Mus musculus: one gene and its partners. The protein of the gene in region 5 purifies or fractionates together with the protein of the main gene of each other region. This does not show direct contact. Links are inferred from orthologs where the notes say so. Each region holds a gene or a part of one and is shown on either strand. Other genes may lie near its edges. The genes, in order: Smarca2, Smarcc2, Ss18, Smarcc1, Bcl7c, Dpf2 and Smarcd3.

What was found.
Region 1: the proteins of Bcl7c (region 5) and Smarca2 purify together in Homo sapiens (affinity purification with mass spectrometry; 4 studies listed by BioGRID and IntAct, counting the BioPlex papers as one, with this or other methods). This does not show direct contact. The link is inferred for Mus musculus from reciprocal best matches to the Homo sapiens genes BCL7C and SMARCA2.
Region 2: the proteins of Bcl7c (region 5) and Smarcc2 purify together in Homo sapiens (affinity purification with mass spectrometry; 4 studies listed by BioGRID and IntAct, counting the BioPlex papers as one, with this or other methods). This does not show direct contact. The link is inferred for Mus musculus from reciprocal best matches to the Homo sapiens genes BCL7C and SMARCC2.
Region 3: the proteins of Bcl7c (region 5) and Ss18 purify together in Homo sapiens (affinity purification with mass spectrometry; 3 studies listed by BioGRID and IntAct, counting the BioPlex papers as one, with this or other methods). This does not show direct contact. The link is inferred for Mus musculus from reciprocal best matches to the Homo sapiens genes BCL7C and SS18.
Region 4: the proteins of Bcl7c (region 5) and Smarcc1 purify together in Homo sapiens (affinity purification with mass spectrometry; 4 studies listed by BioGRID and IntAct, counting the BioPlex papers as one, with this or other methods). This does not show direct contact. The link is inferred for Mus musculus from reciprocal best matches to the Homo sapiens genes BCL7C and SMARCC1.
Region 6: the proteins of Bcl7c (region 5) and Dpf2 purify together in Homo sapiens (affinity purification with mass spectrometry; 4 studies listed by BioGRID and IntAct, counting the BioPlex papers as one, with this or other methods). This does not show direct contact. The link is inferred for Mus musculus from reciprocal best matches to the Homo sapiens genes BCL7C and DPF2.
Region 7: the proteins of Bcl7c (region 5) and Smarcd3 purify together in Homo sapiens (affinity purification with mass spectrometry; 3 studies listed by BioGRID and IntAct, counting the BioPlex papers as one, with this or other methods). This does not show direct contact. The link is inferred for Mus musculus from reciprocal best matches to the Homo sapiens genes BCL7C and SMARCD3.

The regions. Positions count from the first base shown.
Region 1 is NC_000085.6:26,603,663-26,607,959, reverse strand, and holds the start of Smarca2 (probable global transcription activator SNF2L2), read right to left. Parts: upstream 2,801-4,297; 5' UTR 2,727-2,800; intron 2,712-2,726; exon of another isoform or gene 1,911-2,711; intron 1,810-1,910; exon of another isoform or gene 1,450-1,809; intron 1,387-1,449; exon of another isoform or gene 905-1,386; intron 819-904; exon of another isoform or gene 417-818; intron 1-416. UniProt on the Homo sapiens protein: ATPase involved in transcriptional activation and repression of select genes by chromatin remodeling (alteration of DNA-nucleosome topology).
Region 2 is NC_000076.6:128,465,815-128,469,314, reverse strand, and holds part of Smarcc2 (SWI/SNF complex subunit SMARCC2), read right to left. Parts: intron 521-3,500; coding exon 445-520; intron 310-444; coding exon 178-309; intron 74-177; coding exon 1-73. UniProt on the Homo sapiens protein: Involved in transcriptional activation and repression of select genes by chromatin remodeling (alteration of DNA-nucleosome topology).
Region 3 is NC_000084.6:14,680,115-14,684,414, forward strand, and holds the start of Ss18 (protein SSXT), read right to left. Parts: upstream 2,801-4,300; 5' UTR 2,622-2,800; coding exon 2,553-2,621; intron 1-2,552. UniProt on the Homo sapiens protein: Appears to function synergistically with RBM14 as a transcriptional coactivator. Isoform 1 and isoform 2 function in nuclear receptor coactivation. Isoform 1 and isoform 2 function in general transcriptional coactivation.
Region 4 is NC_000075.6:110,233,024-110,236,523, reverse strand, and holds part of Smarcc1 (SWI/SNF complex subunit SMARCC1), read right to left. Parts: intron 1,648-3,500; coding exon 1,471-1,647; intron 1-1,470. UniProt on the Homo sapiens protein: Involved in transcriptional activation and repression of select genes by chromatin remodeling (alteration of DNA-nucleosome topology).
Region 5 is NC_000073.6:127,705,967-127,709,947, forward strand, and holds the start of Bcl7c (B-cell CLL/lymphoma 7 protein family member C), read right to left. Parts: upstream 2,801-3,981; 5' UTR 2,562-2,800; coding exon 2,470-2,561; intron 1,993-2,469; coding exon 1,914-1,992; intron 1,576-1,913; coding exon 1,467-1,575; intron 1,372-1,466; coding exon 1,210-1,371; intron 1-1,209. UniProt on the Homo sapiens protein: May play an anti-apoptotic role.
Region 6 is NC_000085.6:5,910,072-5,914,148, forward strand, and holds the start of Dpf2 (zinc finger protein ubi-d4), read right to left. Parts: upstream 2,801-4,077; 5' UTR 2,702-2,800; coding exon 2,670-2,701; intron 1-2,669. UniProt on the Homo sapiens protein: Plays an active role in transcriptional regulation by binding modified histones H3 and H4. Is a negative regulator of myeloid differentiation of hematopoietic progenitor cells. Might also have a role in the development and maturation of lymphoid cells.
Region 7 is NC_000071.6:24,599,203-24,603,464, forward strand, and holds the start of Smarcd3 (SWI/SNF-related matrix-associated actin-dependent regulator of chromatin subfamily D member 3), read right to left. Parts: upstream 2,801-4,262; 5' UTR 2,657-2,800; coding exon 2,579-2,656; intron 2,563-2,578; exon of another isoform or gene 1,934-2,562; intron 1-1,933. UniProt on the Homo sapiens protein: Involved in transcriptional activation and repression of select genes by chromatin remodeling (alteration of DNA-nucleosome topology).

The DNA of each region.
Region 1 (4,297 bases), on a different chromosome or scaffold from region 5:
AATGATTCTGCACTACGCCCTCGCTCTCTCCCCTCCTACACCATCCTCCTTCGCTTTAAACACCCCCAAGGGCCCCCGCGAGAGAGTGGACCGCTTGGGGTGTTTATTTTCTTCGTGGAGTAAATCCTGCGAGAGTTGGAAGCACATTTAGGCCCGAAGTTTGAACGTGCAACAGCCGCAGGGCACAGCGACTCACTCTCTCCGGACCTGGAGCAGAAAGAACTGACCACGCCAGCCACCCGCGAGGCCTCCATCTCCCCCGCGCAGTGCCTCCCGCTGGAAAGTTTTCCCTGCAATCGATTGCCTGCCTGACTTTGCACGGAAGGCGAGCCAAAGATGGGAGGGGGGTCGGCAGAGAAAGACCTAGAAAGCTCAGCGGGCGGCGGCGGCGACAGCGGGAGGAGCCGGCTCCTTACCTGGGCGACGCTGAACGGCCAGGGCTCTCGAGCTGGCGCCGCCCGGGGCTGCGAGGGAGCGGTGTGCACAGCGCGGCTTAGGCCGGCGCCCGCGGCCCGGCCCCCGCCACCTCCTCTTCCTCCCTCGCGCGCGTCATGTCACGGCGATCAAACACGTCTGTGCGCTTCGCCGCGGTGACTTCCTGATTCTCCGCCGCTCGCGCGCGCCACGCACTCGCCCTCGCCGCCGCACGCACCGCCACCGCCTCCCGCCGCCAGACCCAGCCGGCTCTGCGTCCGGCTCCCGGGAGTGCTCCGGCTAGAGACGCAGCCCGCGCAGCTCGCCACTCACTGGTCCCTAGCGCACTGCACACTCACGCCAGCCCGCCGCCCCCTCCAGCCCCTCCATCCGACTTGCAGCACTGCCAAACTTTTTTTTTCCGGGTTGATTGGTGTCCAACTTCCCTCCGCCCCCATCCCCCAGGCAGCCCTACCAGCCCGGCGCTCACCACTATCCGCAGCGAATAGCAACCGGTATAAAAAAATAATAATGTAATCCAGGCCGCAGGGGTGAATGCAGACACCCGCACCCGGCGATCTCCTGCAGGTACCGGAAACCAGCGTGAGCGCCCGGGCCGGAGCGCGGGTGTCCCCTAGAGTCCTCAGCGCTGCGCCCCGCCCGGAGCGGTGTCACTGCGTCCAGGCTGCGCGGCCTGGTGCGGGGCACCGGGGGGCACTGTGCTGGTGTGCGCTTGGTGGCTGGAGGGCGCCCAGGGGCTGGCGCGCTGGACCGGTGATTTGGGGAAGTACATCGCGACACCTATGCAGATGGCGTGGCCCTGTTTTGCAACGCCAATGGGAGGGGAGGCAGCCCAGCGATGGGGGAGGAGGAGGAGGCAAGGGAAGGGGTGAACTATGTTGGGATGGGAATAAAGCAAACTCGAAAGCAGGGAGCAAGAAGGAAGGGGTGAGTGTCATCGCTAGGAGGAGGCTCCCACCGGCTCTCCCCGCCTCCCTCCTTCGCCACCCCCTGTTTCCTCCCCACTGCAGCCCTTCCCCTTCCCGGGCGAACGCCGCGGCCGCTGCCCGGGTGCGTGCGGGTCCTGTTGTGACAGTCAGGCAGAGAGGATTATCCGGATCATGGCCTCCCCAGCCCTCAGCCGCCGTGGCTCTCCCGGGTCCCTGTGCGCCCCTGACACTCAGACCATCCCAGGCGCCCCGCGTCTGCAGCTTCCTCGGCGCTTGCCAAGGAAAGACACCAAGCAAAAGAAAACAAACCCAGAGAGGGGAGGGGAGGCTAACAGAGCCTAGTGGACACCTCGGACCTCTTTCCTTGGGGCTTCCTTCCACCCTCTGTAATGAGACCCGGGCTGGACACCCCGAACTTCAACATCCTAGCCCGCGCTGCCTCTAGGTACCAGACAAGAGGGTCCGCGGCGCCACGGCCATAGCCCCCGGGGCCAACCCTTTCACCTAAAGGCCTGTCACCAATCAACATTCCCTTCCCTGCCCTAGGGAACCCCGGGAGTGGAGGTGACACCTCGGAGCCCCAAGGCACCAACCCTGTGGTAGTGGCCGCCGCCCGCTCAGTGCGCCATCCCAGACTACTACCGCCAAGATCTGCTCTCGTCCCCGCAGCCGGAGCCCTTTAAACAAGTCCCCGGGAGGCGAATAGCAGCCGTGTTGGTTGGCGCCCTGCCGCCAGCCCGGGCTCCTCACCCTCCTTCCCTCCTTTCCTGTTCCCTTCCAACTCTAACGGGGAGGATGGCTCGGGGTGAACTGTCGCGTTTCCAGTCCCCCGCCTCCCAACCCCTCCGCCCCCCGGCCCGGAGTTCCCAAATCCCCCTCTCCTCTTGCCACTAGCCCTCCCCACCTCTGCTTTTTAGGGGATAGGAGGGGGGGGGGGATGCAACCTGGCGGAGAGTGTGTTGCAACCCTGAGTTGGCAGCGCATCACTGTCAACCTGCCCAGGGTCAAGGCTGTGACATGTTGGGATTTCTTCTCCTTGCCCCCTCGAAGTAGTAATTATTACTGTTATTATTAGAACGGCGAGGTTCGGTTGAAACTTTGTTTCTTTTATCGCCACCCGGGAGCTGTGGTTAGAGCATTCCACCTGAGGCCCGCGGGGAAGAGGCGGGCTTTTTTGTTGTTGTAGCGGTTGGCCCGCCTGTTTGTTTTGGTCTTCCAGCATGCACAATAAATAATGATTAGGATAAGGATGCATAATCCGGGGCGAAGGCGGCGCGGTGCCCAAGGGGTTCGGCGGCCGCTGCGGCTGCTGTAAGGCCGGAGCCGTGGAGAGAAGAGAAAGGAGTTGTAAGTTATATTTACCTTGCTCGCGAGCAGTGTGCTGGCTGAATCTTCCCTCTCTGAGTCACCCAGAGTACAGAAACAGAGGGAGCGAGGACTAGATTATGAATATGACTTCATTGATGACAGCCGTCCCCTCCTCTTCCTAAACTCGGGCTCCGCCCCGCGTCCCACCCTCGCCGCCTCCACGGGCGCCGGAAGACGCGCCGCAGTTGGCCCCGCGAGCCGCTCCTCCCTGCCCGGCCCGGCGCGGGTTGGTGGGACGCTCCTGTCACTCGCCCTGCTCAGCGACTCCGGGAGCGCGCGGGGGGAGCAGGGGGCGGTGTGCAAGAATGTGGATCTAGACAGCTCTACTGTATGCGTGGATCTGTGTGTGTCTGCGAGGCGCCGGCTCTCCGCCGTGTTTGTGCCTGGAGCAGAGAAACTGCGCAGGACAAGCAACCAGCCCGCAGCCCTGCTGGACTCGGGAGCCGCACATCCTTTAGCTGGCAGTAGCCTTCCGAGCTTCTCCGAGGAGACTGGGGGAACCCCCCGAAGCGAAGGGGAGGGCAGCCGTAGTAATCGAGCGTAGTAGTTCTGGGGAATGTGGAGACCGTGCTGGAATTTAAGTGTGCCTGCGCCTGCCAGCTCGAGCCTGCAGAGAGAAAGGGAGGGGACGGCGGGGGCAGGGCTCCGGGTGGCACCAAAGCTGTTTGTGGCAGTGTTGGCCGCGGGGGTGGGAGGGAATGGGCATTATCATACGAGCTGAAACTTTTTCGACCCCCGCCTCCTCCCCGTTTCTCTCAAGGCTGTCATAAATTTGCGTTCTTCCCACCCATCCCCAGCCCCCAGTGAAAAGGGAGGCGGCACAAAGAGCGAGCTTGCCAAATCTGTCTCATCCCTAAAGGACTGCAAGCTTCCAAATGCCAGAGAAGAGAAACAGCTGAGAGGCCGGCCGCCTAGTAAATAAATAAACCCAGATAAACCCTCCTAACCCCTCTGTTTACTTCGGAAAGGCACGAAGCACTTTCACCTCCCCTCACCTGTCGTCTTCGAATAAAATATACATAAAAATGTGGGAGGAGAGAACGACCCGCGAGGGTAGGGCGGGAGAGTCAGGGGGCAGCTGAACCATGGGATCTGCTTTTGATTTAAAAAGGGAAATAAATCTCAATCTCTACAGACCGAAGTCTCCTCTCTCTTCCACCCCACATTTAAGACCAATTAAGGCTACAAACTGCAATTTGCCTGCACGTAGTGGTTTGGAGAGCTAGTGTTTCAGTTTTCCTTGAAATACAGTATGTCTGCCGGACCCTAGGTCACTATTTGGTGAGGCGGTTTTATTTTTAGTTTTATGAAGTGTGAAAGAATGTTAGGAGATTTTAAATCAGAGGCCTATTATATTAGACTCAGATTAATGTAGGTGCTTGACTCTTAAAATTAAAACTGCTCCTATGTGGTCATGTTATGAAAAAGTATGATCTATTCCTTATTTTGCAATGTAATGGCGTAAATTAGTCATTCAAAGTGCACTGTGACTATTTGGTTGAGGATCCCTCCCACCCTGGGGTAAAATCCTATTTTAAGATGGTTTATACTTTTACAGAATTGAC
Region 2 (3,500 bases), on a different chromosome or scaffold from region 5:
GAGAGGGAGAGCGCTTCCTCTTCTTATAGTTGCCCCCCTTCTTGTCTCGTCTGTCTGAATCTGGGCTGTTTACCTGCACAACAGGACGTGGGATGAGCAGCAGTTTACCCTCCAGTTCCCAGCAAGGCTTGCCTCAGGTGTAAGCTAAGAGCTCTGACAGGGAGGAGCAGAGCTCACCTCGTCTGTCAGCGTCTTGGCTGAGATCTTCTTCCTGCGGGAGACTGGGCTTTTGTCGTCACTGACTTCGTAGTCTTCCTCATTCATCCACTCGTTGAATGTGTCGGTGTCGAGGATCCACTTCGCATGGACCTGAAGCACACACAGGGCAGTCCGTGTCAGAGTTATCAGAAGCCACGGCTCTGTCTAGAAACTCTTACAGAGTCCCAGCTCCTCTGACAGAGAAGGCTGGTCCTGAGTGGGGTGGAGGGGACCAGGAGAGCTCACCTTCCTCGGTTTCTCAGGAGTGGGAGCGTCCTCCACAGATGCTTCAATTTCACTCGCTGGGATCCACGTGTCGTAGCTGCCAGAAAAGATTCAGTGTGAGATGGAGACGGAGATGGACTGCCGGGAGCGAAGTGCAGCCTAAGGCCGGCCTGGTCAGTGTAGCAGGAGCTTGTACCATAATAAAAATGTAAAGGAGGGCTAGAGGTGGCTCAGTGGTAGAGTACTTGGCGAGCACAGACAGGCTCTTGGACCCATGAAACTATCAACAATAAAACAGGAACAAAAACTCGAAAGCCAGGCGTGGTGATGTAAGCCTGGGATCCCAGTACTCAGGAGGGTCTTGTGTCCGACTCAGTATGAACAGCAGAGTGAGACCATCTCAAAAACCAAAAGCAAACCAGTCAACCAAGAAATAAAACAGAGCACAAAAAGTTTCCCAAAACGTATGAAGACAATCTAACATTGGTGACTATGGGAAACTGAGGCAGGATTCCCTTAAGTCTAAAGTGAGACCTGTGCATCAGGGTAAGCTATAACCAACCACTTCTTCAAATGTAATTACAACTATATTACATTTGTATTTGTTTTGTTTTGCTCCCTGAAAGAGAGGTCACACTATGTCTCCCAGAAGAGCTTAGAAGTCCTAGGCTCCTGTCTCTACCTTCTGGGGAGCTCTAGCTGTAGATGCTAACTTCCCTTTCTCACTTAAATTTCCCTATAAACTAACTGTATTCTGTCACTTTAAAGGCTGCATAATAGCCTTTATAGAGTATTATATACATTTGTGGAAACATTTCCTACTACTATACTGTTTTAACTTTTGTTCTAAGATACAACTTCACATAGCTTAGGCTGGCCCTAAACTTCACATAGCTTAGGCTGGCTCTAAACTTCCAAGGAAACTGAAAATGACTTTGATTTCCTGATCTTTGATTCCTAAAGTGTTGAGAGTGCAGATGTGTTATACCATGCTTGCCTTTGTTTTACATTTAATTATCAAAACATATGAACATGACCCAGAGGGATGACTTGGCAGAAAGTGCTTGCCACACAAGCCTGGTGACCGGAGCTACATCTCTGGGACCCAACCTGGAAGGAAAGCATAGGATCCCAATCCTGAATACACACACACACACACACACACACACACACACACACACACACACACACACACAGAGTAAGAAAAAGAAGGTCAGGCGTGAGAGAGCAATCCTCTAATCACAGCACTCAGGGGGAGAAGCTGGTACATCTATGTGAGATCTTGTCTTAAGTATGTATGTAAGTATGTGTGTGTGTATGTATGTATGTATGTATGTATGTATGTGTGTAAGTATGTAAGTATGTATGTATGTGTGTAAGTATGTAAGTATGTATGTATGTATGTAAGTATGTATGTATGTATGTATGTAAGTATGCATGTAAGTATGTGTTTATGTATGTAAGTATGTATGTAAGTATGTATGTATGTATGCATGATAAAACAGAACATAAAATTGAACTGGGGGGGCTGGTGAGATGGCTCAGTGAGTAAGAGCACCCGACTGCTCTTCCGAAGGTCTGCAGTTCAAATCCCAGCAACCACATGGTGGCTCACAACCATCCGTAACAAGATCTGACGCCCTCTTCTGGTGTGTCTGAAGACAGCTACAGTGTACTTACATATAATAAAAAAAAAAAAAAAAAAATATATATAACCTAGAACCTATATAAAAATGCTGGGCACGGAGCTGAAGAGATGGCTCAGCAGTTAAGAGCAATTGTTGCTAGGAGGAACATAAATATGAACTAACCAGTACCCCCAGAGCTCCCTGGAACTAAACCACCAATCAAAGAAAGGAGAGACTCATGGCTCTAGCTGCATATGTAGCAGAGGATGGCCTAGTCGGTCATCAATGGGAGGAGAGGCCCTTGGTCTGTGAAGGTTCTATGCCCCAGTGTAGAGGAATGCCAGGGCAGGGAAGCGGGAGTGGGCGGGTTGGGGAGCATGGGGAGTGGGGAGGGGACAGGGGATTTTCGGAGGAGAAACTAGGAAAGGGGCTAATATTTGAAATGTAAATAAAGAAAATATCTAATTTAAAAAAAAGAGAGAAAAGAAAAAAATTTTAAAAAGGTTGGGGGGAGAATAATTGTTGCTCTGGCAGAGAACCTGGGATCAGTTCCCAGCACCTACATTATGACTGAAAACTACCTATAACTCTAGTTCAAGAGAATCTGTAGGTGTTCTCTTCTGACCTCTGCAGACACCAGGCATTCATGTGACACACATACATACATAAATGTGGGCACTCACACACATAAAATTAAACAAACAAACAATGTTGGTGCTGGCCACTGCAGTGTTTCAAAGGTACAGAGGATCTCCAAGTCTCTCTGGCCATGTTACCTAGCTTAATTGGGGAGTACCAGGCTAATGAGAGACCCTATCTTAAAGAAAGTGGGCAACGTTCCTAAGGATGAACTTGAGGTTATCCTCTTGTCCCTGTGCATGCTCGCCCATGCACACAAAAAGACACACATTTAAAAGACAATTAGAGCCAGGTGGTGGTGGTGGCCTATGCCTTTAATCCCAGCACTCAGGAGGCAGAGGTGGGCAGATCTCTGAGTTTGAAGCCAGTCTGGTCTACATGGTGAATTCCAGGTTGGCTGAAATTACATAGTGAGATCCTGTCTTGACGGTGGTACACATCTTTATCCAGATCTTGGAGAACAGAGGCACATGGATCTCTGTGAGTTCCAGGACAGCCAGGGCTGTTACATAGAAAAACCCTATCTTGAAAAACTAACAAAGAGCAAACACTGGGAACTGGGCGCTGGGCATGGTGGCTCTCCTAAGCAATCCAAGCACTGAGGAGGTAAAGGGAGATGTTCTAGATGACTTTGGCTCTAAGATTTGGTCTCACAACAAACAGACAAACAAACAAAACACCAAGAAGCATTGGCTAGAGAGATGGCTCAGTATTTAAAGCAATTACTGCTCTTGTACAGGGCCCAGGTTTGGTTTCCAGCACCCACATGGTTCATAACAATCTATATCTCTAGTTTCAGGCGTACAGACA
Region 3 (4,300 bases), on a different chromosome or scaffold from region 5:
AAAAGAAAAAAAATCTTACTTTGTGTATGTGGAATGATATCACATTTAATCAATTCTGTTTAATACCTATCTCAATTATTCTCTTTGAAACTCAGAATGGAAAAAGGGTGTTTCTTTTGACTTATTTATCATCAGTGTGTATTAATCATCTCACTCACACACACACACACACACACACACACACACACACACACTCAGTGCTGTGGTGTGAGGTCAGAGGGCAATTCTGTAGCACTGGCTCTCTCCCTGAACCCAGCTGAACCATCTTCTAGGCCATTGTTTTGGGGTGTCTTGTTTTAAATACAGAAACATTTCATTACCTCTCCAATCTGTAACAGTAGTTTCTGCTAGTTGAAAGTGGACTCGCAGTTGCTACTGGAGCATTCTCATGCTCTAGTGTGAAGGAGGAAATCTCTTCTCCAGAAGGAAACAAACACAGGAGCAGTGCTGCCCAAGGGCCCTGAGGTAATGGCTCAGCTTCTTTTCTAACTGTGCAGATTCATGATTCTCCAAAAGGACACATAGCAATCATCTCTATGCATGTAATTATTAATAGAAGTTTGTAAAATAAACTGAGATATCTCAGAAAGTCCAAAAACCATAAGATTATCATTTTAGCATCTTATAACAATCTAAGCAACCTTGGTTTTGAGGATTAAGTAATTCATCTATGCCAATGGCACTACAGAAGAAAACCTACATGGAGTCCCTAGCACACTATCCAAGTTTGTAGGAGCTTAAGATTTAGGGGGGCATCCTAAGCATGCCCCACCTTTCAAAATTTCATGACAAAACCAAAAATCATTTAACGTGATTTTCAATTAAAAACAAAATCCAATTACCATGAATTGGTATTTCCGGCACATTTATCATTATCTTCGATTGCTAAGAGCAAACACTTTTCTAAAGTGTGCCTCTTAAATATAATCACTATATACAAAAAAATTCTTTTGTTTTTTATTGTTGTTACTATTTTTGTTGTTGTTATCAAGATAGGGTGTAGCGTCGGCTGCCCTGGAACTAACTCTGTGGACCAGGCTGGCCTCAATCTCACAGAAATCTGCCTGCCCCTGAAGGCAGTGCCATCAATTCAATACTCAACCAAGGAATCCACGACACATGAAACAACCCCAACCATCTGCCTCCTGTCTAAACCAACATCTGACACTGCAAACAGAACTTGAATTGTAATGCTTTTGGGGGGCTGGAGAGATGGTTCAGAGGACAAGAGCACTTAATGCTCTTGCTAAGGACCTGGCTGTGGTTTCCAGCCCCCACAGGAGGCTATTAACTCCATTTCAGGGAACTGATGTTTCTTCTGACCTCCCCAAGCACTGCATGCACATGACATACACAGACGTATAAAATAACAAAAGAATTTTAATCCATTTTCACTTTTCATCTGAGAATGAAATATAACCAGTTAGCACCTAGATCAATCACTCACGATAAGCAACTAATAGAAAGAAAAAAAAAAGAAAGAAAGAAAGAAAAAAAAACTCTACTGAGAAAAAGGAAAGCGCCAGACTTTTTCTAGAGTTCAAAAAGAATCCTCTTAGAAACATTCTTTCTGCACGTGTGTGCTTAAAGAAAGCTGTTCACCAGACTACTGGCTCAACCTGGCACTCTAAAGAAACCAACTGCGTTTCCAGACACTGCCAGGCGGGTTTCTTCAAAGAAAAATAAAGCAACAGTTGGGCAAATGTCAAATGCCACACTACAAAGACCCTGACAGTAAACAGAAACCGATGGCCGTAACCCACAGGTCTTCAAGGGTGCCCCGATTGGTACTACAGGTTGACTTGCTCCCCTTAACCTTACTCCGGGGCAGGGAACAAGATCGAAATACTCAGGGCAAGGCAAACTGCTAAACTTAACAGGAGGCGACTTTCAAAAGTCTACCATGCTGAGAGCTAAATAGTGCCTTGCTTTTAGACACTGGCTTAGAGGATAATAAAGAACCTTTGTGTCTCCAGTTGGCAGCCCCGGAGCGGCGACTGGGTGGCACTCTCTGAGGACCCAGCTCCCAGCGCTTCGATCGTGACTTCATGCAAACCGCCCGCCTGTCGCTGTGGACGGCCAACAGCGCTAGGCCAGCGAGAGCAGGCTCGCCCTCCGGAACCCCAGCGCCCGCCCTGCGCGCTCAGGCGCATCTATCTGCTGCAGACCGGAACAGATCCGGGGTGCGATCCCGGGAGCGACCCCGGGGAGCCCCGGAGGCCCCCCGGCTCCTTTCTCGCCTGCCCCGAGACATTGCGGAAGGTTCTCAAGTTCTCCGAAGAGGGCCTCAACTCCGAGGAGTTTGCGGCGCAGCACTCTCGGGTCGGGCTTCCGCGCGTGGGGTCCCGGCGGGGCGACGCCGGAGTCTCGGGGCCGCTTCCTTCACGGCCCCGCGGCGCGAGGCCACCCGGCCCGCGGGGAAATCGGGCGGCGGTTGCCAGCGCTTTTGTGCGGGCAGAGCAGGCGCCAAAGGGCTCCGTCGGAAAGCCGGCGTCAGCCCGCCCCCACGCCACCCCGCCTCGGCCCGCGTCCCGGCGCCTCTCCCGGCTCACCTTCTGGATGGCGGCGGGCGTGATTTCGCCCTTGCCCCGCTGCCTCGGGGCTGCGAACGCCACAGACATGTTGCCGCCGAGCCCGCGATCAGCGAGTCCCGAGCGCTCCAGGGCCCGCGGAGCTGGGGGCCCGACGCCCGCCTCCGGGCAGTTCCACCTTAGGGCGCGCGGTGGGGGGAGGATGCTCCCGGGCCGCGTCCCTCGCTGGCCGGCTTGGCCTTAACGCTGAGCCGCAGCTCCCAGCAAGGAGTGTAAGACGCTCACTGCTGCCGGTGCGGCTCGAGCCCCCGGTCCCGCCGCGGTCCGCCCCGCTGCCCTCACGCGCTCACCGGCCGCACCCCCGCGTCCCTGCGCTGATGGTAGCGCCGCGCCGGCCGCCTCTGCCCGGACGCTCAGGAAATGGTCCCGCCACGGCGGGAGGGAGCGGCTGGGCCGCGCTGTCACAGGAAACGCGGGGCCCGCCCGCCACACTGCCCCAACTGTGCCCTCGACCCTCTGGGGAAGAGGCTCGCCCGGGCGGCCGCCCAGAGGGAAAGAGGACAGTCGGGGCTCCGGAGCGTCTACCGGGTCAGCACAGAGAACGCGGATTCGCTAGTTTAAATGGCTCCCTGCGCTCCACGTGCGCACCTCGGAGTGCACGCTCGTCTAGTCTAGCCTAACAGTGGAGAGAACCCCGGACTCGGAGTTTGCCTAAAGATAGACCCTGCCCACACTTGTGGATCTACTTGATCTGACTTGGGGCCTCTGGAAGGAAGCTGTGAAAAGCCACCCTCTTCTCCAGTTAAATACTTAGTGCTTAATTAGGCCCAGGCTTCAAGTCAGTATGAAGGGAATAAAGCCAACAGCTGCAAATTCAAAAGGAACACGTTGCTGTGGATTAATTCTGCAACATAGACTTCCTAGTCGCACAAAAGAGAAGTTTATGTGAATCGTTACTTAACATCACTGATGCTCAAAAATTAGTGCCTAACTGGATGTCAGGGGTGCTCGCCTTTAATCTCAGCACACAGGAGGCAGAGGCAAGCAGATCTCTGTGAGTTCAAGGCCAGCCTGCTCTACAGAGTGAGTTTCAGGACAGTTAGAGCTACACTGACGGCCACTGTCTCACAAGACCAAAAAATTAGTGTCCAAAATGTTAATAAAGTAAAAAATAAACGTATTTTTAAATGTTATTTCAAATGTCACGGGTCAGTTGCGATTCTGGGGTGTCAGTGCCCTATACGGGTGGTAGAACTGACCAGCTGCAAAGGAAACTCTCAAAGATTTCATGCTGTTTAATTATAGAAAAGATTTACAAAAAGTAAACAAAACCAGATATGCATATAAGTAAAATTTAACGGTTAGCAAACAAGGACAGCACTACAGGCTAGTCGTGTGCCTTAAGTTCTGAACTCTCTGTTGTATTTAAAGAAACCTAAAGGGTGAAGACTAGGCTTTCAAGATGGCTCATCTGGTAAGGTGCTGTGGCCAAGCTTGACATCCTGAGTACAGTCTGTGTGACCAGCATGGTGGAAGGAGAGAACCAACTCAGTCAAATTGTATTCTGACCTCCACATGTGGTTCCCCTACGCTGTGCATATGAAATAGTGCGCGTGCGCACGCGCGTACACACACACACACACACACACACACACACACACACACACGATAGAAGATGAAGACTCTGGCCATTCTAACATCAAAGGATGGAACCTTCTCTCTCCCTTACAATGGTAACTGTTCTTGAGAAGTAACTTCTTGTCTTTCAC
Region 4 (3,500 bases), on a different chromosome or scaffold from region 5:
TGGGCCAGATTCTATAAATTCAGTTAATGTAAGACATTCTTCTGTGTATGGACTTTGTCTCAGCCTCTGGGATTCAGATGCGTCTCTGCATGAAGCCACCTTCCCTGCAAGAAGTCTCCTGGACTATTACAGTGCATTCCAAGGATTTTGAAGTTCCCTGTTGTAGCTGTTGCTTGTGTGTGTGTGTGTGTGTGTGTGTGTGTGTGTGTGTGTGTGTGTGCGTGCGCGCGCATGCGCGCGCGCAAACGCACATGGCTTGCTGGTGCGAGAGCGTGTGTTAAAGTTAAAAGACAACTTGTGAGTGTATTTTGGATCATTGTTCTAGAACTCAGTCCATTATAGCAGGAAGTCATAGTAGCCGTGCTTAAGGCTATTGGTTACATTTCATCAATAAGAGATGAACAGTCCTATCAACGGTTTTTCATTCACCCATTCTCCTAATTAAAGCTCATGAAGGCAGTCAAGGATTATGTTTTTTTTTCTTCTTTTTTCTTTTTCTCTTCTGAGACAGAGATTCTCTGTGTAGCACTGGCTGGCCTCAAACTCAGAGATCTGCCTGCCTCTGCCTCCTGAGTGCTGTGAGTCATCTCAGCCCAGCAGGCAGAGGATTCTGGTTATTTATTGTTTTGTGACTAGGAGCTAATTTCTGGCCACATACAGGATCTTCTTAAGAAATCAGCTTATGGCTGGATCCTTCTCACTGAGCATGTCTACCCAGCTGGAGATCACAGCCTCTCATGTAACTCTGTGGAGGTCAGGGCTCGGGCTGGGGTAGGGGTAGAGGTAAGGCTTAGGGGGAAATGACCTGAGCTCCGAACACAAGCTCAGAGGGATGCTACTGACCGTGGCCAGCACCTCTTTACCTGGTATTCTTCCTCTGCAGTTCCTAAACCACCTCATTTCAAGTCAATGCAGGAACTACCTAAGTATCAAGAACAGCTACAAGAGCTGACTCCCGTCTTTATACCAATTTTTTCTTTCTTTTCTCTTTCTCTTTCCTCTCCCCCTCCCCCTCCTAAAGATTCTTACTATGTAGCCTCGGCTGACCTGGAGCTCCATATGTACACTAGGACGGCCTGGCAAGCGCCTCTGCTCCTGAGCACTGGGGTTAAAGGAGTGTACCCTTTAATTGGACTAGGTCTGGTTGAACTTCACTTTTTCCCTACTTACCACCTTTAATTCCACAGCATAAAAGTTCTTGTAGGGGAAAGAACAGCCAGGAACTATGCATGTCAGATGAGATTCAAACTAGTCAGGTTTAATCATGAGTGACAGAATCAGTGGCTTCCCCACAGATCTCAGTACTGAGTACACAACCTGAGTGTTCACACCAAAACGTTATCTCCCACACCTCACTGTTGCAGGCTAGACTGTCTATGGGCTTGCTAATCTCACGAAGAAAGCATTTCTTCCTTATCTGTAGCTTCCAAAGCAGGATGCTGGGTAATGTCGTCCCACTGTGCTACTTACACATGCCGTTTGGTGCTGTGAGGGGTACCCGGGGTCCTAAGATGTTTCCGGGCATTGGAGGCATACCAGGAGGGGTAGGGCCACTCCCAGTAGGGTGAATGTTGGCTGCCACAGCGGGGATCATGCGACCTGGCATGGGCTGGCCAGGCATCATGGAGCCAGGGCCTGGTATTTGACCTGTGGAAAGAGATTTAAAGCACTGTAAGTATTCATGCACTGGGGGTGGGTAGGCACCAACTCAATGTCCAAGACTGTAGAACATAGACAAATAAAGACTTATTTAGCATGTGGATGTATGGGCACAAACACACCATGGTACAAGTATGGAGGCTAGAGGAAAACTGGTAGTGTGTGAGCTTTGAGGACTGAACTTGGACAGCCAGACTTGAGGCAAGCACCCTCACCTTCTCACTGGCTGATGATCAGCCTTTTATTCATTTTTTTGTAGAAGAAACACTTAACTGAGGAAAGATCACTGACTGACTTCTCAACTTTAGTATAGGAAAGGTAGTTACTATTGAGAATGAATTACAGGGCTGAGGCCATGGCTCAACTAGATCATGAATTACGACTGGTAAGAATGCTTCCCTTGGGCTGGAGAGATGGCTCAGCGGTTAAGAGCGCTGACTGCTCTTCTAGAGGTCCTGAGTTCAATTCCCAGCATCCACAGGGTGTCTCACAGCCATCTGTAATGGGATCTGATGCCCTCTTCTGGTGTGTCTGAAGATATCAACAGTGTACTCACATATAATAAATAAATAAATAAATAAATCTTTAAAAAAAAGTAAAAGATATTTCCTCAAGGCAAGAGGTTGTGAGATCAGTCCCCAGTACCACACAAATAGTGCTGTGGTTAGAACCCTAGGATACTTAGAACCCTAGGATACTTAGAACCCTAGGATACTTAGAACCCTAGGATACTTGGAACCCTAGAATCTGGGAGGTAGAAGTAAGATTTCAAAGTCACCACTGGCTAGACAGAATGGGTCTGACACCAATCTAAAATACATGAGTCCATCTCAAAAAGCAAGCAAGCAAGCTGGTTAAACAAGCACAAATGGGAGCAGTTCTGAGAAAGCATCAGGCAAAGAACAGATTCACTATGGTTACTCTAAATGAGCAGTGGCTTATCACATATCACATCACATCCAATGCCTGGCACAGGCCAGACATCAGAAAGGACTTTCAAAGGTCTGCCTTTCTCTGACCTGGAGGATCCCTGAGGGAGTCCATGAAGCACTGGCCTGGTAAAACCACACATGGGGTTGGGCTGAGGTAGGAGAATAAGATAAATGACAGACAATTCCATCTCTTCTCAGTGTCCTTACATTAATGATGGGAGACAGAACAAATAATGTCTGATTTACTTACACACCGATATATTTGTCTTTGAAGACTCAGCAAGTACTTAGATTCTGCTACTGAGTGACATTACATGCATTCAACTTGCTGTTGTAGTATGCAAACAGTTACAGATGTAAGTAGAAAGCTCACGTTTGGACTCAAAAGTACAGAACTCTAGCTAGGAGAGGAACATTTCTGGTCACATGATAAAGGGAAACCAGCTTTAGAGTAACAAAGTCCTTACCCATCTTCATGCTGACTCTTCTATCAAGCATGGCTGTGACAGAGCCTTAGAAAGAGGACTCTTCTGAGCCTATGAGCTTCATCGTCACAAAGACAGAGCCATCATGAGGTAATGATAGAACACAAAAACTGTATAGGATCATTTATCATGTTCAGTTTCACACCAACTCTCAAGTAAGGTCTGCTGAATCCATAGACTTAGCCAAGAGGTAAGAGAACAACACCCAGCCAGGTGTGGTAGCAACGCCTTTAATCCCAGCACTCGGGAGGCAGAGGCAGGCGGATTTCTGAGTTTGAGGCCAGCCTGGTCTACAGAGTGAGTGCCAGGACAGCCAGGGCTACACAGAGAAACCCTGTCTCAGGAAAAACCAAAAAAAAAAAAAAAAAAAGAGAGACCACCCAACAGGCAAAGTATAGAAGAGTAACCACGACCTCCCTTTATC
Region 5 (3,981 bases):
CTCGTTAGTGGGGAGTGAGCCAGGAGACAACAGAGGTAGAGCAGAACTTAGGCAGACAGAAATAGATGCTTAGCAACCACGGATCCTAAATCATCTGCAGAATGGAAATAGTGTCAGTCAGACCACGAGAGGCTGCTGTGTGTGGGGGTCAAGGGTGGAGCTGCTCAGTAAGTGCCAGGTAGCAAGTTCATTCATTCACTTACTCATTCATTTCTTACATTTCTGTGGTAGTAGAGATGGGGCTCAGGGCCTTAGGCATGTCAGATAAGCACCTACCACTGGACGCTTCCCCTGCCCTATCCGTTTATATTAGCAAAAGTATTTGGAACAATCTCGGTATGGCCCAGGGGCCATGTCATGGTGTTCTTGACAGGGGAACAATTTTGGCGGCAACAGTTTGTCAAGGCCTCAGTGTGAAGTGAAGGAACCAGAGGCTGCGGGGAGCCGAAGAAGGATGTGAGGCAGGAAAATAGCCGTCTCGAACGTGTGCTTTAGGAGAGCTGCTCTGCAGCCACCGGGGACAGGCGTGGAGGCCAGAGCAGGTACAAGGGAGAAACGAGAAGGCAGAGCCAAAGGCACAGGAGTCAGGCACGCCTGGGAAGTGGTACTGACCAGACAAGGGGTGGACTATTTGAAGACAGAGGAGCTGAAGAAGGCTCAGGCCCAAGGTGTTGCTCACTGGCTCTTAAGTCTGGGCATCTTTCTCTGGATGTTGGTCTCCTCGTGTACAGAGAGGACTCATGATAGAATCATTGGTCCCAAAAGATGACAGTGAAGATTAAATGCGAAAACAAACAACAGAACTTCGGAGTGCTCAGAGGAACGACTCACAGACAAGCGGTTCTGTTAGCTGTTAATCTACTGCTATTAATCCCTATGATTATTGGAATTATTTATTCCCTGAACATCTATTACGCATCCCACATGATCAAGATCGGTATGGCTGACAGGAGATGATAACAGAAAAAGACAATAAGCAAGCAAAGAAATAAATCTGCAAAAAAAAAAAAAAAAAGTCAGCTGGTGATATGCTCCCTACAGATCTAAGAAGCCGGAGGATTGAGGCACAGCTGGAGGTGATCTCTGCCAGGGTCAGGGAAGATTCCCTGAGGGAGGCGGGACCGGGTGAGAGGACATAATATAAGAAACAAGGACAGGATGGTGGGTTCAACTTTGATGAGAGGGCTCCTGAGAGCCACAGGGCCCTACCTCTCTCCTGACCCAATTGTGGGGGCTGAGTATCTTCAGTAATCACTTCTGGGGGTCCAGTTGGTGATCCAGGGCGGCTGGGCTGGGGCGTCCCCCCAGGGCTGGGCTCAGCACCCTTTTGCAATGAACCTTCAGAATGGAAACTCTGGTTGCTGTTCTCATCTGATGAAGCAAAAGCCGCGCGTTAATTAGCCAGAGATCCCCAGGGGATTCCTTCAGTCCCCCCCACCCAACTCCATTCCAGAATCTCTACATACCATTGAGATCCAGTAGGATGAGGGGGCCTCCCCCTCTGGGACTGGTGCCCCTACCACGTCTCTCCCGGCCACGGGATCTCTCTGCCCCGCCTCCTGCCCGCCGCCTCTCCTGGGGGTTAGAGAGGTAAGATCAGAGCTAGTTGTCTAGGGAGCTCTTACAAAGCCCTTCAATACGAATAAGGAAACCTAGGCTCAGAGAAGCGAAAGGTGCTGCATCAGGTTGTGTAGATTGAGTTAGGCCTTGAACTTGGAGAAAGTGTGTGTGTGTGTGTGTGTGTGTGTGTGTGTGTGTGTGTAAGTGCGCTCGCGCCCCCTAATAATCGTTACCATCTGCCTGGGCTCCACACTGGAGTCTCCAAGCCGACTGAAGGTGGAGGCCAAGGCTGGGAGGGAAATTGCTTGAGGCTGCACAGATGCAAGGCCTGTTGGGGGTTGGGGCTTGCTCACCTCCTCCTGGGGATCCACCACAGGCACCCACTTGAAGATTCGAAGGGAAGTGTCTCCCACAGTCACCCAGCGCTTCTCCCTGTGGGAGGTCAGGAGACTGGATCAGGGAGGCCCAAGGATGAGCCCCACAGACTGGAGGTCAGGGAGGTGTGCTAGGGTAGGGACAGCTTCGCTAACACTGGCACAGAAGCAGAAAGAGCCCTCAAACCCCAGGGCAAAGCAGAAACGGATATAACTTGGAGCTGCGGTTTTGCAGACACCTGGGGCACTCAGCAGGGCGCCACCAAGGCCTGGCCAGGGACTCTGGCAATGAAGACCCGGGGCCAAGCTTGCTAGAGTGTCAAAAGCTTCAGGGGGCGGGGCATAGATGAGGGCTCCCGCTCAGGGAAAGCACCACTCCGGACCACGCTTTGTAGACCTCTGGGAATTGCCGGGGAAAGGGGGCGCCCTGTCGATTCAGAGCACAGCTGGTGGGCGGGGGCAGCGGGCCAGGAAAGGGCGGACGCGTTTGGAGGAGGTGGCTTGGCTGTATCCCTGGCCCGGGGGCAGCGCTCACCATCTCCGGACCTTCTCGATGGTCGCCATCACCTTCTTGATGTCATCTTTGGCCCGGCTCCGGGTCTCGGCCCGCACGGTCCGGCCGGCCATGCTGGCGGGGCTGGGGCCGGGACAGAGCCCGTGGCGGGGCGGCCTGTGGTCCGGCGATCTCAGGCTGAGCGCCAGGCCCCAGCGCCGCTCTTTCGGCCTGCCGTCCCTCCGGGAGTTGGCCGCGCCCTCCCTCGCTCCCCAACGCCTCCGCGCGTCCCCGCCTGGCTTCCTAAGACCGCGCCCCGCCCCGGCCCGTCCCCGGAGCGGCCCGGGCGGCGCGGGCTGCTAGAGCCCCGGCCTGGAAGCCCGGCCAGCCCCGCCCCGGCCCGGGCCCGCCCCTCGGGGCGCACGGACGCACAGCGCCCTCTGCCAGCCACGGAGAGGGAGAGCTGGGGGGCAGCTGTGCGGCTGGACGCGCGCGGCCCGAGCGAGGCGGTGCGTTCCGGCCACGTGGGCTCAGGGGTGCGCGAGAGGGACTGTCCTGGTGTGCGTCCGCGGCGGGTGGGCGTCCCTGAAATGCTCTGTGCGCGCGTCTGCCCTCTCCAGGCTGTTTGATTCTACGCTGCCCAACTTAATTTGTTCATTCATTCATTGAACAGTCCCATGAACAGTGCCAAGTACGCGCCAGACGCTGCGAGTGGAGAGCGGGCCTCCTCAGCCAGAATGGCGGGAATGAGAAAGACCATGTAGATGGGGTAGCAGAGCAACTTGGCATTCCTTGAATCAGGTTGTGTAATTGGTAGAGATACTTTGGAAAACTGATAGTCTTCCAGTGAAAAACTTATACCAACCCCGTTTTCCAACACTTTCCACTCCCAAGCTATCAACACTCAACAGAAGAAATGTGTGCTTGCCTAGTTTTTTGTCAGCCTGACATAAACTAGGTCAGCTGGGATGAGGGAACCTTGGTGGAGAAAGGGCCTCAATCAAGATGCCCTATGGGTAAGTCTGTGGGGCCATTTTCTTGATGGTAGTTGATGTGGCAGAGCCCACACCACTGAGGGCAGTGCCACCTCTGAACACTCTAAGAAAGCAGGCTGGACAAGCTTTGGGGAGTAAGTCAGCAAGCAGTATTCCTCCAAGGTCTCTGTTTCAGTCCCTGCCTCCAGGTTCCTGCTTTAAGTTCCTTCCCTGACTTCATAACGGACTATCACTGCAAGCTGAACTACATTCTTCCCTCCACGAGGTGCTTTTGGTCATGGTGTTTATTACATCACTAGAAACCTCACTAGGACAAAATGTGGTGTCTGTATGAACACCAAGATATGAATACTGGAAAGTTTGGGACTCTTTTCACAGTAGCAACAACCTGGAAACAACACAAAGAATGGAATGGAAGGGGCTGGCGAGATGGCTTAGTGGGTAAGAGCACTGACTGCTCTTCCAAAGGTCCTGAGTTCAAATCCCAGCAACCACATGGTGGCTCACAATCACCCATAATGAGATCTGACGGCCTCTTTTGTTGTGTCTGAAGACAGCT
Region 6 (4,077 bases), on a different chromosome or scaffold from region 5:
GATGAAGAGAATAGGGATAAGAATGCATGAAAAGCAGGAAGGAGTAAGGTCTCAGTGTCTAATGCTATTACTAAAGCTGTATCAACAAGCCCTAATGTAGACTCTGATGGGGACTTTCACTGAGCAGTCACAAGAGACCACTGCACAGCTTAGTTTGTTCCCAGCAAACACAGCACACACAGCAACACTACAAGTACAGCCTGAGTGGGTTCAGTGAGCAGGAATAACTATAATTAAGGGATAAATGTGCTGGAGAGCACAGCACAGAAGAGAGCAGGCTCACACTGGCTCGCCTTTAGGAGGCAGCCACGTCCTTACCACACAGGAAAATTGGATAAACAAGGCTGACTGCAGCAGCTCCTTTGTTTCTGCTGATGGGAATTGATACTGACACTGGAAGTCAAACGGAAGAAAGGACCAGCCCTGTGGGGCTGAAGACTGCAAAGTCAGAGTGCGGAGCCTGAGGGAGGCCTGGAGGGATGACTGGAACGTCCAGTCGGGGCCCCTGCAGGCCAGGTAAGATTCTAGAAGGCCAAGCAGGTGCTCTAGTAGGAAAGATGGCCGGATAAGACTGCATGAGTGTGTGCATGTGTGCGTGTGAAGAGAGCAAAAGAGGAGAGTGCACACAAATTCAAGACTCTGTAGCAAAAAATTCCAAGCTTCTGTTATTCTATGGATAGCCTTATATAACTCTAGAAAGTTTTAAAAACTAGCTGGCAGCCATGGTTATTTTAACACTAGTATTTACTCTAATAAGACCACTATAAAGACTATTTCAACCATGACGTTGTAATTGAGAAAAACAGAAAATTAAGACAGAAAGTCTTCTCACACGGCAAAAAATGAAAAAGATGAGCTAGTGGTCTTTCCCTCAGTGAGTGATGGCAGCTGACAGAAGACAGAAGCATACTATTTTTTTTAAAAAGGCATCAGAAAGGCATCTTTCCAGAGTGAGAATGGTGTGAGAATCAAAGCCTTCCCTGTAAAGGGAAAGTTCCCCGGGGAACATGTTAGGAGCTTCCAGTCTTCTGCACTACAGCTGAGGAGAAGCAAGTTAGTGCCCCACTGATACTCAGGAACCAGTGAGTTAAAGAGGCATGAAGAGCAATGCTCTATTTAAATGGGCACCCAACACTTAAAATACTACACCAATGGGTTGGCAACTCCATTTTCTGCCAGACCATCTTTCAACATGAAGAACTCCATTGACATCTAATTCTGAAAACCTAGGCAAGCATATTCTTTTAGACAGTAAGATTTTCAGGGTAAAAGCTGTGACTCCTCCTTTCACAGGAAACCTGGGGGGTGGGGAGGGGGCACAGGACAACTCCCCTTCCAGGGGAATAAGGGGGGTCCAACAAAGAGAAAGGCAGGGTAATAAAGACTTAACTTCTGAGTCCAGAAGGAGAACTATAAAATTGGTAAATTAACAGCCTCATTTCTAAATTGAGGGAAATGTCAGCCTGAAGAGAGCCGGGGATCCGGAGTGGGCAGATCACAGAGATAATAGCGTTGGGAGGAGGGGTGGTTGAAATAGGCAGCAGGATGAAGCCAAAAGCGAGATTAAAAAAAAAAAAAAAGCCACAAGAGAAGGCACTTAGCTTAATGGAAGTGGAAAAGCATTTTCAAAGAAAGGGGCTGCAAGCAGCAGGGAAGAAGCAACTTAACCTTAAAAAAAATTTTTTAAAAGCCTCTTGGGACGATTGGGGCTCAGCCCACGACAAAGACAGATAAAGCTGCGAAAAGTCCTCCAGAATGGTTCCAAAACCTTTACTTTGTCATCCAGAATCCAAAAGCTTTGATTGGACAGCTGAAACACTTCAATTTCTCTATCCTTACATCACGTCTAACATGGCCATTAAGGGAAGAGAAGGCCATTCTTAAATCCAATGGGCACCCCGTTCCAAAACTCTGATTCTTCTTCAAGAAGGAAGGAAGAGCCTCATCCAAACATCTCCAACTGAGGGGAAGCGACTAGCAGGCCAGTCCCCGTTCCCGGTGTCGCCCAACAACCGTTTATTTCAGCTCCACTGGAAATCTGACCCGCACAATGGCATCTGGGGGACAGAGAACGCCCACCTCAGGGCTCCTGCGGACTGGAAGGCCATCTGGCTCCGGTCTAGTTCCCCACTCCCCGAAGTTCTGCTCTTGGACCAGTTCTTCCCAAGAACATTTTTAGTTTCGTGGACCCCGGATTTCCCGGTTAACGTCACCAGGCTGCTTAAGTCTTAGGACTCCGCAGGGACGGCGGAGCCTATGGCCCCAGGGACGGCGGTGGGCGGGGAGGGGACCCCGATCTCCTAGTGCCGCCGGCCTCGGCTTGGCGGGACTGACGCGTCTCCAGAGAGGGGCCAGGGACCGTGAGCCTCTCCTTCGCAGCCCGCAGCTCCGCTCGGGGCTCGGCCCGCGAGGAGGACACCCGTCGGGGGCTCCGGTGTGCCCCCCTCCAGTCCTCCACAAGTTTCCAAAAGAAGCCCAGCGCCGTCTCCCGAGTCTCCTGTTGCCCTCCCTCCCAGCAGTCGCACAGCAAGGACTTCCCGGGCATGTCCTTCTCTCTACCTTGTCTCTTCCCGCACCTCCCTCTCTACTCCCAGGTCCTTTACAAGATTTCTGGTACATGAGAGATTAAAAAAGAAAAAAGAGACAAACAAACAAAAAAGACCACTCACAGCTTCACTACATTCTCCACCACAGCCGCCATCTTCCCTGTTCCTCTCCCTCAGGCCGGGAGGCCCCGAAACCTACAACGCGCAGGCGCTAAGCCTTCTCAGGACACAGGGTCCTCGACCCTCTGCGCAGGCGCAGCTAGGGGGTGCGCGCACGCACAGGCCCACGAGAGCGAGCGCTCGAGAACGACCTGTCCTGAAGGAGCCTAGGATCCCAGTGCGCAGGCGCGATTGGAAAACTTACATGCCCTCTGCAGCTCATTCTAGAGATCCGTCTCCCCTCCATTTAGTGACGCCTCAGCTAGGAGATCTGGCTCGGTTGGAAAGTGAGAAAGGTAAGTGAAAAGGCCACGCGGATAGGCTAGAAGTTGCAAACAGTGTCCTGCCTGGCTGGCCGTTAGCCACGAGGTTGACACACAGGGAGAGATTGGTGGGTAGGTAGTGAAAGGTCAGAGTCCCAGTCCTTTAGGTACCTCTGTTCCCAGTCAGCCCATTTTAGAGAATGGAAAGTGAGTGCCCAAAATGGGCTGTTCTTGGGCCTGACTCTCATTCGGACAATTCCTGCCAGTAAACCCGGTCCTTGAACTTCACTGGCACCCACCTCTTCTCTCTTGCTTGCCTCTCTCTCCCTCTTCCTCTCCCTCTCTCTCCCTCTCCCCTCTCCCTCTCTCTCCATTCCTTTGCTCTGTATGTCTGTCTTTGTGTGCGTGCATGTGCCATAGCATATGTGTAAGAGTGAGAGAGCAGCTTGGGGATGTGAGTTCTTTCATTCTACTTTGTACCTGGGGGATGGTGGTCAGGTTGTCAGGCGTGGTGCCCAGAGTCCGTATCTGCTGTGTCATCCCACAAGCCCTTGATTGCTATTACCAAGCCATTCTCCACATTGAAAGTTTTCACTGGTGTGACTAGCCCTCTTAGTTCTATACTATTTATTTCTCCTTCAGTATCGAGTTATGCAAATCCATGAACAAACATGTTTCCCCTTAAAGAAGAAACCAGCCGGGCGGTAGGGGCACACACCTTTAATCCCAGCACTTGGGAGGCAGAGACAGGAGGATTTCTGAGTTTAAGGCCAGCCTGGTCTACAAAGTGAGTTCCAGGACAGCCAGGGCTACACAGAGAAGCACTGTCTCAAAAAAACAAAAGCAAAAACAAAAACAAAACAAGAAGAAGAAGAAACCAACAGGACTCCCTTAAGCCCATTGGCACTGCATCTCAGCCCATTTCTTTTCACTCTTTCTAAGCAGATTTTCATTCGTATTCTGTACTGCCCTGTTTTCCTAGGCTCTCTTCTGCTTACTGAGTGCTTTTGTTCCCACCAGGCCTTTTGAAATAACTCCTAACAAAGTCACCAAACCTCGGTTTCAATGGATTTAGAAGCGATCTACTCTCTGTCCATGTTGGACCTGAT
Region 7 (4,262 bases), on a different chromosome or scaffold from region 5:
TCAAAGAAAACAGCGACCTCACCAAGGTCACCCTGCTCTTCCTGGCAAAGGCAGCACCTGGCGGGCCCTGCTCCCCGCTGCTTCGCTGCGGTGAGGGAGGGGCTGATCTCCTGCCCTCATTCTCCATTTCCACACCCCACTTCTGGGTCTGATGTGTTTTGTACTTGAGCCCCTATCTCCATTTCGGAGCCCCCTGCTTTTGGCACCTCAATCTCAAACATAACTGGTACAGCTAACTCCAGGTCTCCACACCCACTGACTTAACCTGCCTCTTTAATTTTATTTCTCCCAAGATGATACAAGAGACTGGGCAAGGGGACCTGCGGGTCTGGTGTCATCAAACTCTGCCAGGTTTTCTTGAGTGGCAAGTGGGGAACGGGACTAGAAGTGGACTGCCAGTGCAGGGATGTGAAGGAAGCAGCATCTGTAGCAGTATCCATTTCCCCCTCCCATCTGCCCACATCAGAGACAACCTATTCCTCACAATATCCCAGAAAGGGTAGAAATTGGAGGGAAATGAGGCAGGTTGATTTTCTCTGGCCACCAGCTCTGGGCAGTCAATCAAAAGAGATGAGATGTGAATGCAAGTGGAGTGTTTCAGATTTCACTTGTCCAAGCCCAGGAAGGGGGCTGAGGCTTGGGGACCTAGACCAGGAAGGGTATTAGGGAGAGGGGAATGAAACCCCTATTATTTAAACACTACCATCTCAGGCTAGGGATGTAGCTTGGTTAAGGGCTTGTGCAATACATGTGGTGCTCTGGGTTCGATCCCCAGCATCAAATAAACTGCACATGATAGCACATACTTTTTTTTTTTTTTTTTTTTTTGAGACAGGGTTTCTCTGTGTAGCCCTGGCTGTCCTGGAACTCACTCTGTAGACCAGGCTGGCCTTGAACTCAGAAATCCACCTGCCTCTGCCTCCCGAGTGCTGGGATTAAAGGCGTGCGCCACCACCGCCTGGCATGATAGCACATACTTATAATCCTAATCTTGAGGTGAAGGCAGAAAATCAAGACCACCCTCTGATATATAGTGAATTTGAGGCCAGCCTGGGCTACAGAAGGCCATGCACACACACACCCTTCTCATCTTGCCCCCTGGATTAAGAAGCCCTAACCCTAACCCTGGGCTTCCTTTCTCCTCTTACATTGCTTACCTCTGAGGTCTCCACCCAGAGCCAAGCAGCTGTCTCTGCCCATCTCTTCTATAGTCAAACAGGCCTGTCCCTGAACTTGCCTCCCCCATTCCACCTGACTCTGTCACTCACAGCACCAATGTCACCAGCGTGGAAGCTCAAGCCTAGCCATTCTCCATCACTATAGAGGGGACTCTAATCATCCAAGAACCGAACTACCAAGTTGACCACATTCAATTCCATATGCAGAGCCTCTTCACTGGATGGTAGTCTTTAAAGCAACTACTCTTAAGCAGCTAGGTCAGGATTGGTAACTCCACTAACCCATAGGGCTGCCTTGGAATTTATACCCCAGAGATCCCTATGGCTAGAGAACAGGCTGCCACAGAGAAGCCCTCTTCCCTATCAGCCACTCTCCTATTCATCAAGGCCACTGATACTGTTGGGTCTAATGAGGCCCTGAGAAGAAGGCTTCTAGGGGCCCCCAGGAGCCTGCCATCAGTAACAGCCTCATAAGGGTCAGATTCTGGGGGCCCTTGCCTCTCACTGAAATGGTGCTTCCTGGAGTCACAACCAAATTTGGCCATAGTAAATATGACTGACTCTTCCCTCCATATGCCCAGGCTTAGAGCTCCTCACAGCAGGCTCTCCACCTCAATAGGTTCCTGGGTACCCTCAGACTCCTCACATGTCTTCGTGAGTGTGTGAGTGTGTGTGTGTGTGTGTGTTAGAACGGTATAGTACTATCCCTTTGGTTTCTAGGCCTCATGTCCCCAACTCCTGCCCCTCCTTCACACCTTTGAGGTGTTAAGGTCATCAACTTCTGGTGGCTGAGCCTGCCAAGGAGATCTTCTGACTGCTTAACTTGAGGTCTCACAAGTAGACCCTTCTCAGCTCTGACAGCAGGGCCAAGTCCTCAAGGCCCTCCTGCTAGGATGCAGAGGTTGTTCAGCAGAGAGCTTTTGCTCTTAGGTCACCTGCTCCTAGCTGCTCAGACCTAGTCGGAGTGACCCTGTCCCAAAGGATGAACAGGGACAACAGGCAGCCCTGCCCTAGCTGTGTGTTCGAGTCACCACCCCACCCCCACCCCCAGGGCAGGGGTAACACCTGAGCCCACCAGTAAAAGAATGTGAGACATGTCAGTTACAGAGGGGACCCCCCTCTTGGGGGAGGCACGGTGCCCACATCCCACCCCTTGCCCCTGAGAAGAACCCAAGCCGACGCCTCTCTTCCCGGCCGCCGCGCGCCCATCCCCAGCCGACCGCTTGGCGACGTGTTCGGATGCCAGGGCGCCCGCAAGGTCCCAGGGTTGGGCCGTGACCGTGCGCCCCTCAACCAAAGGGGTGGGAGAGCCGGAGCGCGCCGGCGGCCCCTCCCGATCATCCCTCCATTCAGCCCGAGCCAGCTCGCTCACCCTCCCCCGCTAACTTTCCCCCACTCACCACCCCATGGACCAGAAACTCAAAAAGTTTGCTTTTCGTGGCTTTGCGCGCCCCTCCGGCAACTTCGTCCGCGGCCATCGGGGTGGGCTCAGCGGCTCCTCTCACTCTCTCTCTCTCTTCCTCTTTCTTTCCCTTTTCTGCCTTTTTTTTCCTCCAACTCTCCCCTCTGAGTCCTGCTGGGCTCTCTCACACTTCTACTCGAGCGGAGTGGGGAGGGGGCCCCTTCAGGGCTGCCCTGACGGCCCACGGCCCACGCCGCCGCCGCCGCCCGCCCGCCGCCGCCGCCGCCGCGGCTGCCGCATTCCTGCACTGATAAGACAGAAATAGTCCGGCGGCCCGGGGTCTGCCTGCGACGCGCCGGGGACGGAGCGGCCCTCCTGTGCACTCCGCGTGGTCCAAGCGGCGCACAGAAGCGGCGAGACGAGCCGATCTGCCCGGAGGCTGCGCGATGGGCAGCTGCGCTGCGCCCAGGCCGCCCGGGGCCCATCGGTGGCGGCTCGGGGAGGGAACACCACGGGAGGTGACAAGGGGCTCGCCAGCCACTCTGCCCTCGCCACAAATAGTTTCTCGGTTAGGGAATTCGCCGACATGGCCAGGCAGGGAACAGACAGTTCCAACTTTTTTCCCCCAAGTGGCTCCTGCAGCATTTCTGAGGCCCTTTCCCCTGGGACCAGGCAGGCCAAGTAGGGAAACATTTGCTGGAAGGAATCTGGGGGGGAACCCGAGCCCGAAGCAGGCCTTGCTCCTGTCCCAGGGCCAGCGCGGTGGGTGTGCCGGGCTAGGCGGGCTCCCGGGCGCCCGCAGATGTGTGTGCCCTTGTCTCGCACACCGTGTGTCTGCACCCTTTTGTGGCACGGCGCAGAGGCTGTGGGTGTGGATGTTTATGTGCGTGCACTGACAAACGCCCAGTCTGTGTGCTTCCCTTCACAAGAGCCGCCGAGCCTGCGCGCGTGCGTGCGGGGCAGGACACGGCCTGTGTCTTTCAGCTCTGTTGGAGTCTATTTCTGGGCTTGTGAGTCTTTGTTTGTCTCTGTGCGAGAAAGTGAGGGCAATAGGGGAAATATTTCCGAAAAGGGGACATGGACTGGACTCATGAGAACAGGAGGAGTACATTGTGAGGAATGGCGCGGATCCAGGGTGGGTACTTGGGTGGGTAGGAGGAAAGGGTGAGGCAAGCAGGGCTTGATGGCTTTGGCGCGGAGACCCAGAGAGCTCGGGATTGGTGAAGTCCGCCCCAGAACCGAAGAGAAAGCAGGAGTGTGGGGTAGGAAGACGAGGAAACCCTAAATGGGACAGTGTGGATAGAACTGGCCATCCCTGGAGGGGAGGAAGAACAGAAAGGAGGGGACAAATCCTGAGATCCCTAGGTTGAGCCCAAGCTCCGCCCATTCCACAAGCCACGCCTGTCCCCACCTTCTGAAGGAGGAGTCCGCGGGTTTCAGGACAATCAAGGGTCAGGTTTATGGGCTAGCTGGGGCTGCCGCTGAGAGAGGGACAATGCCTGAGGGAACTTGTGGGAACACATACAATTTGAGCCCTCAAGACCCATTGCACCGAGGGACCCTAACCTTTGGCCCTTCAGAATGTCTTCATGGGTCAGGATAAGGAGCAGAGGAATGCTCTCCCAGTCTATTTGGCCTGTATCTTTGTTTCCTGCAGGTCCTGTTAGTATGCCTAGCTGTCA